Linked DNA regions of Caenorhabditis elegans. The protein of the gene in region 2 purifies or fractionates together with the protein of the main gene of each other region. This does not show direct contact. Each region holds a gene or a part of one and is shown on either strand. Other genes may lie near its edges.

Region 1 (6,054 bases), 1.0 Mb from region 2:
GCAGTTATATGAGTTTATTTCAGAGCTTCATGTTAATTTATATTTTGAAAATCATTGTTGACGTGGTTGAGTTCGACTGAGATCAGATTTCGGAGCAGTCTCTGCATTGGCGGCTAGTGTAGATCCTTCGGTGCTTAACGAGGTCAACAGGGCTTTTTCTGCAGTCATCATGGTCGATGTACACGAAATCACTTCCATCTCTTTTCCTTTTGACTGCAGAACCATATTTGTTCCGAGATCTTGCTCCCAGGATGCCGTGTATAGTGAGTTGTTGATCTGAAATTCATAAAATTTTACTTTTGAGTTTGTATATTTCCATTTTACCTGTAAAACTGGTGCATCCGTTTCAGCGTACCGCAATTTGATCAAATCTCTCTCGACGGCATCTCTAACAAGATCCGCGTCGAGAATTCCATTGACAGTGACCACCATCGTTACATCTTCCCATTCATCATCATCACCTTCGTCTTCTTCTACTTCTTCCTCTATTTCTTCTGGTTGAACTTCCATCTCTTCCGGCTCATCTACCCTTTCGGGTATTTCTTGTTCAAATCGCATTGGCTTCAGGCATGCTTCTTCTGGTTCTCGTTTGATGGGCGACATTTTGAATTCTACAATATATTTCTGGAAAGAAAAAATTGGAAAAAAACACATAACAATTCAGAATAGAAATATGAAGAATGGCTGAGAACCGTGGAGACTGAACAAATGGAAATTGTAGGAATAAACGAATACACTTTTATTCCACCCAAATAAATAAATATTATCACAATCATAAATACATAAACCCATGCGTTGTTAAATTCTCCGAGTGTCCTTTAGGTTAGAAAGCATTTTGAAGAAGCTTCACAATACGAGGATAATGATCGACATAGTGTTGTTGACCACGTGAGATGACAGAACTATTGTACGAAGACACAAGTCCGTTGAGGAATGCGAGAACTTCCAGCTCAGTGTGCTCTTCGTACCACTTTACATATTCTTCGGGCTGAAAATTGAAACATATAAATATTTCATATTTAGAGTATTCATAGTATTGTGGAAAACTACGAACCGTCCATTTTACAGATTGATTAGGAAGTGGAAGTTCTGAAGGGCTATCGGATACTAGTAGCTGGATTAAAATCGACTTTTTGACACCTTCAACTCTGAGCATCACATCAACATCGCTTCCGAAAAGATCCAAAAGTCGAGTAGTGTCACCATATTTGGAAGGCCATTCCATTGAACGAACGGCTTCGAGTAATCTGAAAAAGTAATTTTTCTGACGAAATTATTGAATAATTTAATAAAAGGTTTGAAAACGTATTTCTTTTGTTTTGATATCCTCTGAATTCGGTTAAAACTTAAACATTTTTGATAAGTTTTCAGTTAGACAAGTTAAATAAATAAATTTAAATACAAAATGGCGGCAAAGATGTAAAGCGCTGAATCATAACCGATGTAAAAACAGAAAAAGTTAACACTTTTGTGATTCAGCGCGCCGTTTTGAGTTTAAATTTAAAATGTCTAACCGACAACTTGGAAAATAAATTTAAAATAATATAAAAATTGCTAACCACAGGGAAAATCAGGTTTTTTTGTTGTTCTTTTTTTTTGCTATTTCAAAATTTTTTCTTAAATTTTTTTTTCTAGGATATCTTAATAAAATTGTTCGATTTTTCGGTTTTATTTCCACAGAAAATAGGAAAATACGATAAAACTATAGATTTATCAAAAAAAAATGGTTTTGATGATAAAAATGACTAAAGAGGTTTTTTTCTTCTAAAAAAACATTTTCGATATTTTAAAAATCATATATTTTTTTGGAAATTTTTTAGAAGACGACAAATGAGAAAAACAATAAATTTTTTGAGGTTTGAAAAATTATTTAGAAAAATTTACATGTTTTGATCAAAATTGTTTTTTTTTCTATTTCGAGTGTAATTTTTTGCAAGAAAACGTTTTTTAAAAATTTTTTTTGAAAAATTTTTAACATTTTCAGTTTAAGCACCCTATTACCTTGAAAAGTCAATGACAATGAGTTGACGTTCATCAGAAGCATGTGATCTGACTAATGTGGCATTTAGAATAAATGAGTCAATGACATATTCGGCAATTTGTGAGAGTACGTGAGAATGACAAACTGCTCGTGAAACGTGAGCCATGTGCATGTCGATATGATTAATGTAGGTGAGCAATTCTTGCATGTACGGAGCCACGGATTTTGTCATTCCGCGTGTTTCAACGTGCATTCTTGCAACAATCGCGCGAATCGAGTTTTTGACTTCTATGACGATCGCATCAAGAGTTTCTTTTTGAATCGCTGTCACACTTTTCGATTCTGCTGGCCAACGTTTTGTGATACCATCAGCGGTTTGAATGAGACGATAGTTTGTCATTTGATTTGCAGTCAATCGGTCTCCTGAAAATGTTTTTTTATTTGGTCATTTAAATGTGGAGTATGGAAAATAAATATTTGTTTTGTACACTCAAAAAAGCTCGAATATCATAATAAAAACTCAATTTTTGAAGAATGAAAATTTAGAGAAGTCTCAAAAAAAAATGTTTTGAAAGTTTTATAAATTTGGAAAAATTTTCGAATAAAAAAACAGGACTTTTTCAGAAAGTTTTATCGAATCGCCGAAAATATCGTCATCGTTTTCTCGGGTTTTCGGAATTTTTTTTTGTTTTTGATAAAAAAAATCAACAAAAAAAAGTATTAATTTCACAGCTCACCTAGGAGTAAATCATCTCTTTGTAAATGAAGATTGGCTTCCAATTTCTTTGCAATAATCTCAATGCATTTCTCAATATTATTGCTCATTTTCTGGCTCAACTCCGCGTCCCAGTCGACTTTTCGATGTTCTTCTTCCATTGCAGAATTGATAAGATCGACAAATGCATTGGCATGAGCTGTAGAGAAGTCATTTTCTTCAACGAGTTTGTGCAAACGAGCCAGTGAATGAGTCAGGAGAGAGTTCTTGAGTGGACGTAAAGAATCGTTCAAAGCGGGTGAACTATCTCCCTTTGAATTGAATACTCTACCCAATTGCTGTACAAACCGCAAAGCGTATGGAGTATCGAGTGGAACTCTGCTACGAATCAGTCGAGCCAACTTTTCAGAGAATTTCTTCTTATAGACTTCACCCAGCATAGCCGCTTGTTCGAGATGTGATTGAATTGTTGCAGCGACTACAGGGAGACTTTTATTAGCAACTTCTGGAGAGCTGTTTGATAATTCCATTAATTTCTTATCCAGATCGACAACAGAGGAGGACAGCAAAACTTCAAGTTCTGAATCCAAATAATTCAAAGTTCGAAGAGCTCTTTGAGCAGATACAACCATCGAGCTATTCAATGACGCTAAACCTCGTTTCAACTCCTCCGCTCCACTGCGTCGAACTTCATTTTCAGCCACTTTCAACTTGGTATCCACCATATTCTTCAACCATCCAATTTTTCGCAAATTTTTATTATCATTGAGTATCTCCTTAATCTCCGATGTGATCTCCGCCTTCTTCACCAAATCACTTCGTTTCTCAAGAGATTCAAAAAGTTCTTCACATCTTTGGGCATCTGAAGCCATGTTTCTTTTGAGCATCGTTGCTTCGAGTTGGCGAGTTTGTTCGCGAAGCTTCGTGGTAAGATCATCACAAACCGTGGCGAGTCGATTTGATTCTTTGGTCACTGATGTCATTCGCATTTGAACTGAATGTAGAGTATCTTCAAGTGATTGAAGAGCTGGCACTTGCTCCAGTAGTCGTGGAAGATTAGTTTCGACTCCTTTACGAAGCTGTTTGTCGAGGGTATCATGGAGTCCAGCGACTTTTCGATTCAATGATTCAGCTACGGATGAGTCACATTCTGCTACCCTGAAAATTTGTACATATACTTAGAAAAAAACTTGAAGATAATTTTTTTGATCGACGACTTCCAAAAAAGTTTTTATTACTTGAAATTTCAAGTCAATTGAAATAACAACTTTTGCAAACATTTTTGATTTGATTTTTTATTAATATAATGTAACACTACAGTTATGTTTTTTAAAAATTTCTCTACTGGCGGTACTCCATCTTTCGACAAAGTGTGCGCCTTTAAAGAATACTGTAATTTAAAACTTTCGATGCTGCGAAGTTTTTATCGATTTTTCATAGTTTTTCTTACGATTTGTTAAAGTTTATGTTGTTCTATTTTAGTTTTTAAAAAATAAATAAATGAATATACTTTTTGCAAAAAACTATGAAGAATCGACGCTACAGTACTCTTTAAAGGCGCGTACCATTTTTCATTAAACAAAAATTGTCGTGTCGAGACCCAAATCCACAAAATTTGGCGACTTACTTTTTCAAGTAATCCTTAACATCAGTTTTTCCCCAGAGGAAGTCGTCGAGCTGTTCGTCGACTCTCCCCGACATTTTAAACTGGAATTAAAAAATAAATTATTATTTAATACGAAAATTAAAAATAAAGATATTAATGAGCAGATCAGGTAAAACTGCTATTAATAGGAGAATGGTATTATTTGAACAATAAAAGTAGTGAAATATTATTCGAAGATTTCGACAAAAGAAAACAAAAACAAAACAAGATATAGTAGTTAACAAGCTAATAAAATCTAACCTAAAATAAATCAATACTGTAATATATAAAGAACTACATCTTTTCAGCGGACTTTTTAAGATTATGTTTCTCTACAGCCACATGATCCTCTAGATCTGAGATGATTCCTCTAGCGATCGTTGTTTTACTGCTTCCTTCTCTCAATGTAAACGGCATTCCTTTTCTGAGTGGCATGTCTTTCATCAAGAGTACTGTAGCAGAAGTATGTTCTCCTGGCATCAGAAGCTCATTGCTCATATCGAAACGACCAACTTGATCCCAAGTACTGCAGTACATTTTGTCTGTGAAACCAGTCCGAATTCCGATCTTCCTGCCATTTTCAGCCTCCGAGAGAAGATAAAGTTCCACTTTCACTCGATTCGTAATTGTTACTGCTCCTGGATGTCCTGCCCACATTCCTCTCTTCACTGTATCCCCTTTAACTCCTCTACACAGAACTCCACAATGATCTCCAGCACGAACTTCCTTCACACTTTTGCCAAAAACTTGGATATCCGAAGCAGTCGTTTGAAGAGTTTGCCCGTCTCCTTTGATTTCAACTTTATCGCCTTTTTTCAAGACACCTCTTTCCAGTGTACCGACGATGACTGTTCCTGAAAAACATTTTAAATTGGTTTTTTTTTAAATATTAGGGGTGGCAAAAAATGTCATTTATTGAAATTTCTTGCACTTTTTCTTGCAAAATAAATTCTTGATTGGCACACCTTATATTTCTTTTTTCAATTACCTCGCCCAGTGATAGCAGTTTTCGATGCAATTGGCATTACAAAAGTATCCTTTTCATTTCTATCCGGCTCTGGAAGTGAATCCAATGCATCAATCAATCTCTCGATACACGAAATATCTTGTCCTTCTAGAGCACTTAAAGCGGAACCTCGAATAACTGGAGTCGCATCTCCATTAAAGCCATGCAGACTCAACAATTCCCGTGCTTCCATTTCTACCAAATCCAGATCATCTTCTTCAACCAAATCCGCTTTATTGATGAAAATCGCCATATTTTTAACACCAACTTGCTTGGCTAGAATCAAATGTTCTTTGGTTTGCTCCATGACTCCGTCGGTTGCAGCAATCACAAGAACAGCCACGTCCATTTGTGAAGTTCCGCAAATCATATTTTTGATGAAATCCGAGTGACCGGGGCAATCAGTGTGGGAATATCGACGCAGAGGACTTTCATAGCCGATATGAGCGACATTGATTGTAATTCCACGTTTCTTTTCTTCTTTTCCCTTATCGATTTCGTCAAATTTAATATGCTTCGCAAAACCTGCAGAATTGAATTCATTTGTGAATAATATAAAAATTAATTAAACCTTTTTTAGCCTGAACTCTTGTGATTGCTGATGTTAGAGTTGTTTTCCCGTGATCGATGTGTCCAATAGTTCCCACATTTACATTGATTTTTGGCGTAGCAGCTGCAGTGGCAAAGAAAGCGACGGCATTTCGTGT
Region 2 (5,034 bases):
TATTTTATGGTTAAATTTCTGAAACAATTTTTTTTCAGATTTTTCGATTTTTCTATTTTGCATGAAAAACACCGAAAAAGCGGAAAACGCGAAAAACGCGAAAAAATCGAAAAATGCCTGTATGTATGTAAAGTATGTAAACTTGTATGTAAACTTGTATGTAAAGGTGTCAGTTTTTCGATTTTTTGACAAATAAAATTGAAAAACAATATTTCTTCGATTTTTCGATTTCTGGAAAGCAAAAAATGTTCGTTTTTCGATTTTTTTCGATTTGTCAAAAATCAGCTTAAAATTGTGATCACTTTCTTCTTTTTGGAAGTTTTTTCTCAATAATATAAACAAAATGAGATAAAAAATCGAATTTTATAGTTAATTTTCTGATAAATTCTTTTCGGATGTTTCGATTTTAGTTGAAAAATATCGAAAAAATGAAATATTTTTTCGATTTTTCTAAGGCTTCCATGTGAGAGCGGCGCGGCGTCGGCGCCTCACGCCGGCATCACGCCGGCCGGCTTTCGCCTTCGCCGCTTTAAAAAATTTTGACGTGAATTCTATATTTTCATTTTTAATAATTTGTTGAAATTTTAGAAAAAAAACAAGAAATGAAAATAAAATTTTACGTTTTTTTTTCAATGACGGCGATAGTGGCGACGTGAGGCTGTTTGAGGCGCCTCACCGGCCGGCGAAGGCGCCGGGATGGAAGCCCTAGATTTTTCATCAAATCGTGCTCATTTCTATTAAAATAAAGTACAAAAACATATGAATTTCTTCAAAAAATCGGGAAAAAAATTTATTTTTTAAGTTAAAAAAAATAAATTTCCATTTTTCGGTTCTCCTCGAAAAACCTGAAATTTCTCCCAATTGTTCAACAATTTACTGTCAAAAATATCTAGAAAAAATCTGACCAAAATTAATTTTAAGATTTTTTTAAATTGTTTTTTTTTTCGAAAATTTCAAAATCCAATTTTTTAGCGCAGCTACCAACAATATTTATTTAAACTGACCATTGGCGACGAATGATTACTGATGAGCTGCTTCTGAAGATGCTCCACCATGCAAAGAGCAACTACATCGTCCAGTGGCTCACCGCCTGGAAAAAATACATTTTTTAAAAATGAAATTTGATAGCATTTCAATTTGTTTTACGGGTAAAACTACTCAATTTTCATGATTTTAAAAATTTTTTCAGTAAAAATCGCTAAAATTCGCTGACATTTTTGAATTAATTAAGTTGAAATCAATTTTTAATTTCAAAAAAAAAAGCCCATACTATCTCCTCCAATACTTGAAACCAAATAGTTCACCGCATAGAGATGTTCTCCCGCTTTCTGTTCCTCTCGTCCTCCGGTTCTGGAAATTCAAAATTTTATTTTTTTTTTCAAATTTTTTGCTCTGAAATTTACAGAATTGTTTGGAAAACCGTGCAAAAATGTGATAAATATTTGAATTTATCTAGGTTAAAAATTTGAAAACAAATCCGAATAAATTGAGTTTTTGATTTATAACTTTTGATTTTTTTTTTCGAAGTAGAATATATATTTTTCTAACGATTTTCGGATCTTAAAATTGAAAATAATTCTGGAATTGAAGAATTTTGTTTATTAATGGTTTTTGAATTCCCGCGCAATCTAATTTCGGCATTTGAGCGTTTTTTCGGCTATATTTATTGGTTTTTATTAATTTATTATTATTATTATTATTATTTGCTTTTAAACATATTTTTCGTGTTTTCAGTCATTTTTTTTCTGTTAAAAAAACGGCTGAAAATTTAAAATTTGTCTGAAAATCGATAATTTAGCATTAAATATTTTCCGCAAAAGTCTAATTTTTTGCTAGAAAATCGATTTTTAGACAAATTTTAGGGTCTCAGCAATTTTTTTCGGGGTAAAATGTCTGAAAATGAAAAATTAAATTAAATTTTCCTAATTAGTTTTTTTTGCGAAATTTTCTCAAAAAAACCATTTTAAAAATTTGGAAAAATTCAATTTTTTCCAATTTTTTGAATAGAATTTTTTGCCGTATTTTTTCCGAGTTTTTACTCAAATTTTGCGAAATATTTCCAACCTAACATGAGTGGATTGATATCCAACTCTTGTATTTGCAATATCTGAGGCCAATTTATCAGCCAAAGAGCACACGTGACGAACTTCTGAAGAAGCTTCTAGAACATCTCGATACCGACGGCCGACCATTTCACGGAGACTTTCTCGTTTTCCTTCCATTTCTTTTCTGAAAAAAATGTTTTTTTTTCGAAAATTATCGATTTTTCTGAAAATTATCGTTTTTTTAAACTTATAGCTTTCTTTGCTGGAAATTGTGGAATTTTTACGATTTTTTGACTTTCTCAATATATTATTGAATTTTCTGAAACCTATCGTTTTTTTTTTGAAAATTATAGCATTTTATTGGAAATTATCACTGTTTTTTTTGAAAACTAAGGATTTTTTTGGAGATTATCGTGTTTTTTTTTTGGAATTTACCGATTTTTCGACTTTATAAAAAATTAGTTTCTGAAAATCAGCGATTTTGATTTTTTTTTTGGAAATAATACCTTTTTTTGGAAACATTATACGCTTTTTGCACTTCAATTTTAAATGAATATTTTGAAATTTTGATGTGAAAATTTAAAAAAAAATTGTTTCTCATGAAAAAATTGAATTTTCTATTTTTTAAATAACACTCTGTTTAAAAAATCCCGAAAAATCTTATTTTCAGCCAATTTTCCCGAGAAAACATTAAAATTTCTTAGTTTTGCTTTTTTCTTAGCTTTTTCGAAGATTATAGCCCTTTATTGAAAATTATCACTTTTTTTTTGGAAATTGTTGATTTTTCTGAACTTTTTGAAATTTCAATTTGCAAATATTTTTCTCGCGAAAAAAATTGAAATTTCTATTTTTTAAATAAAATTTTGTGAGAAAAAAAAATACTTTTTCAGCCAATTTTCACCAGAAAACATTAAAAATTTCTAATTTTCAATTAATTTTTGTTTTAAAAAATTAATTTTTTTCAGCAAATTTTTCCGATTCCTCATTTTACAAAAATTTCTTCAACACATCCACGTGTCGATTTACGCAGCCCTCGTGTACTCCACGAGGAGAAGCTTTTGTTTCGAATTTTCTCGAATTCCCGCTTCTCTTACTCCAAATTCTGCTGAATATTCTCCAGTTGCTCGACCGATAGGTCACGCATGAGCCGGTCAACGTCCATCTGAAAATTTCAGATTTTTTCTTTTTTTTAAATTAAATTAGAAATATCTAGATGAAATGAAACATTTTTCGAGTTAAAAATTGAATAGGATAGCTTGGAGAAATGTGTTTATGCTGAGAAAAAAAAATAAATTTAAATTTAAAATTAAAATTAAAATAAAAATGATACACAAATCGAGAAATAAATAAGGAAAATATGGAAACTGGGATCAGCGAAAGTATGGTTTTTGGTACATGACAATTAGAGAAATGAATTGGATAACTCGTTGGCTCACAATCAGTTGATAGGAAGAAGGATTGATGGGCTCAATGAGCTGCATCTCCAGCTTTTCCGGCGACTCTTTTGAATTCGTTCATGTTGAGAGCAGACAGAGGTGTTCCGAAGACTGTAAGCTTGACGAGCTCAGTGACCTGGAAAAAAGGAAAAAATTGGAGGAAATTGGAAAATTATAATAATTTTGCTCTGAACCAGGGGTGGGCGGCAAACGATTTTTCCGGCAAATTGGCAAATGTCGAATTTGCCGGAAAAACGGCAAATTGCGGTTTTGCAAATTTTTTTTTTTGGAAATTTCAGAATTTAAATTTCAATCGGCAAAATTGTACGCATCCTATGAATATTTCTACATTTATTTTGAAAAGTAGGCAAATTCTATGAAAATATCTAAAGAAAATGGGGAAAAAATTTCAAAAAGGCATAGTTTTAAGTTTTTCCGTCTTATAAATAATCCCTCTAAAAATTTCCGGCAAATCGGCAATTTGCCGAAAATGAAAATTTACGACGAATCGGCAAATTGTCAGATTTAAAAATTTCTGGCAAATTGGCAAATCGGCAGTTTTCCGAAAATTAATATTTACAGAAAATCGGCGATTTTCATAATGAGACTTCCAAAAAAAATCCGAAAAATTGTTTTGCAGCTCAAAAACTAAAATAATATCGGAAAAAAAACCAAAATATTGTTAAAATCCGAAATTTCGCCGGAATACATTTTATATTAAAAACAATTTTTCAATATTTTTTAAATGGCGGTTTAAAATTTCGAAAAAAAATTTGCTAATTTTAGCTAAATTTCAATTTTTTTTTTTCAATAATGTCTGAGAAGTTTCTTCACGAAATTCGTTCATTAATAAAGCGAGTTTTCGTGATTTTACTGAAAATCTTTAATTATCTTTCTTTATTTATTTAATACGTTTATTAAATAAATAAATAAAAGCATAATCAATAGTTTTGGGTAAAATTTTAGTAAATTTAAATGTTTTCAAAGTAATTTTTATCGAAACTTACATCTCCTCCACCGACATTATTCTCAATGAAAAATTGAATATTCTGAACATTCTGGAACTTGACATATTTCAACGCGACGACTTGTCCGTGCCCTTGAATAGAAGATTCATCAAATTCCAACATTTGAGTTGGCTCCAGAGCTGTTGCATTATCGAAATCCGTAGTTTTCGGAAGATTAATGAACACTTTGACCTTCTTTGGAGCACGATCCGATACTCCTTTAATAAGAATTGAATGAACTTTGACTGGTTGATTAAATGGAAGTGAGATGATCAATTGCTCATCACAATCTGAAACCAGATTGCAGTTTCCTTCGAGAAAACGTCCCAGTGGAGTATCATCAGATTCATTCAAACATTCCATTTGTTTCTTATCGACAAGAGGTGTCAAGTCCATTTGACCAGCAACCAGTGAGTCGGCTGCCGAGTTGTCTGCGTACTTTTTCACCATTGTTTCCAGTGCTTTTGCATCGGCTCCTTTCATTTGTTCCACGCGGACTCTGCAAATTTTTATTTTGGGGAGTAGAGTTTCTGAGGTGGGCGGATA

Evidence for each region.
Region 1: the proteins of cogc-1 (region 2) and cogc-5 fractionate together in Caenorhabditis elegans (co-fractionation; one large-scale study listed by BioGRID). This does not show direct contact.

Annotation. Positions count from the first base shown.
Region 1 is NC_003279.8:4,247,842-4,253,895, reverse strand, and holds cogc-5 (Conserved oligomeric Golgi complex subunit 5), read right to left. Parts: upstream 4,404-6,054; 5' UTR 4,398-4,403; coding exon 4,324-4,397; intron 3,855-4,323; coding exon 2,719-3,854; intron 2,405-2,718; coding exon 2,002-2,404; intron 1,248-2,001; coding exon 1,055-1,247; intron 989-1,054; coding exon 824-988; 3' UTR 726-823; downstream 1-725. Other genes in the region: C43E11.12 (Transcription factor TFIIIC triple barrel domain-containing protein), read right to left, coding at 52-276, 325-654; tufm-2 (protein-synthesizing GTPase), read right to left, coding at 4,636-5,195, 5,330-5,872, 5,919-6,054.
Region 2 is NC_003279.8:3,231,564-3,236,597, reverse strand, and holds the start of cogc-1 (Conserved oligomeric Golgi complex subunit 1), read right to left. Parts: upstream 3,208-5,034; coding exon 3,140-3,207; intron 2,230-3,139; coding exon 2,065-2,229; intron 1,351-2,064; coding exon 1,271-1,350; intron 1,091-1,270; coding exon 1,005-1,090; intron 1-1,004. Other genes in the region: txl-1 (Thioredoxin-like protein), read right to left, coding at 3,513-3,617, 4,489-4,987.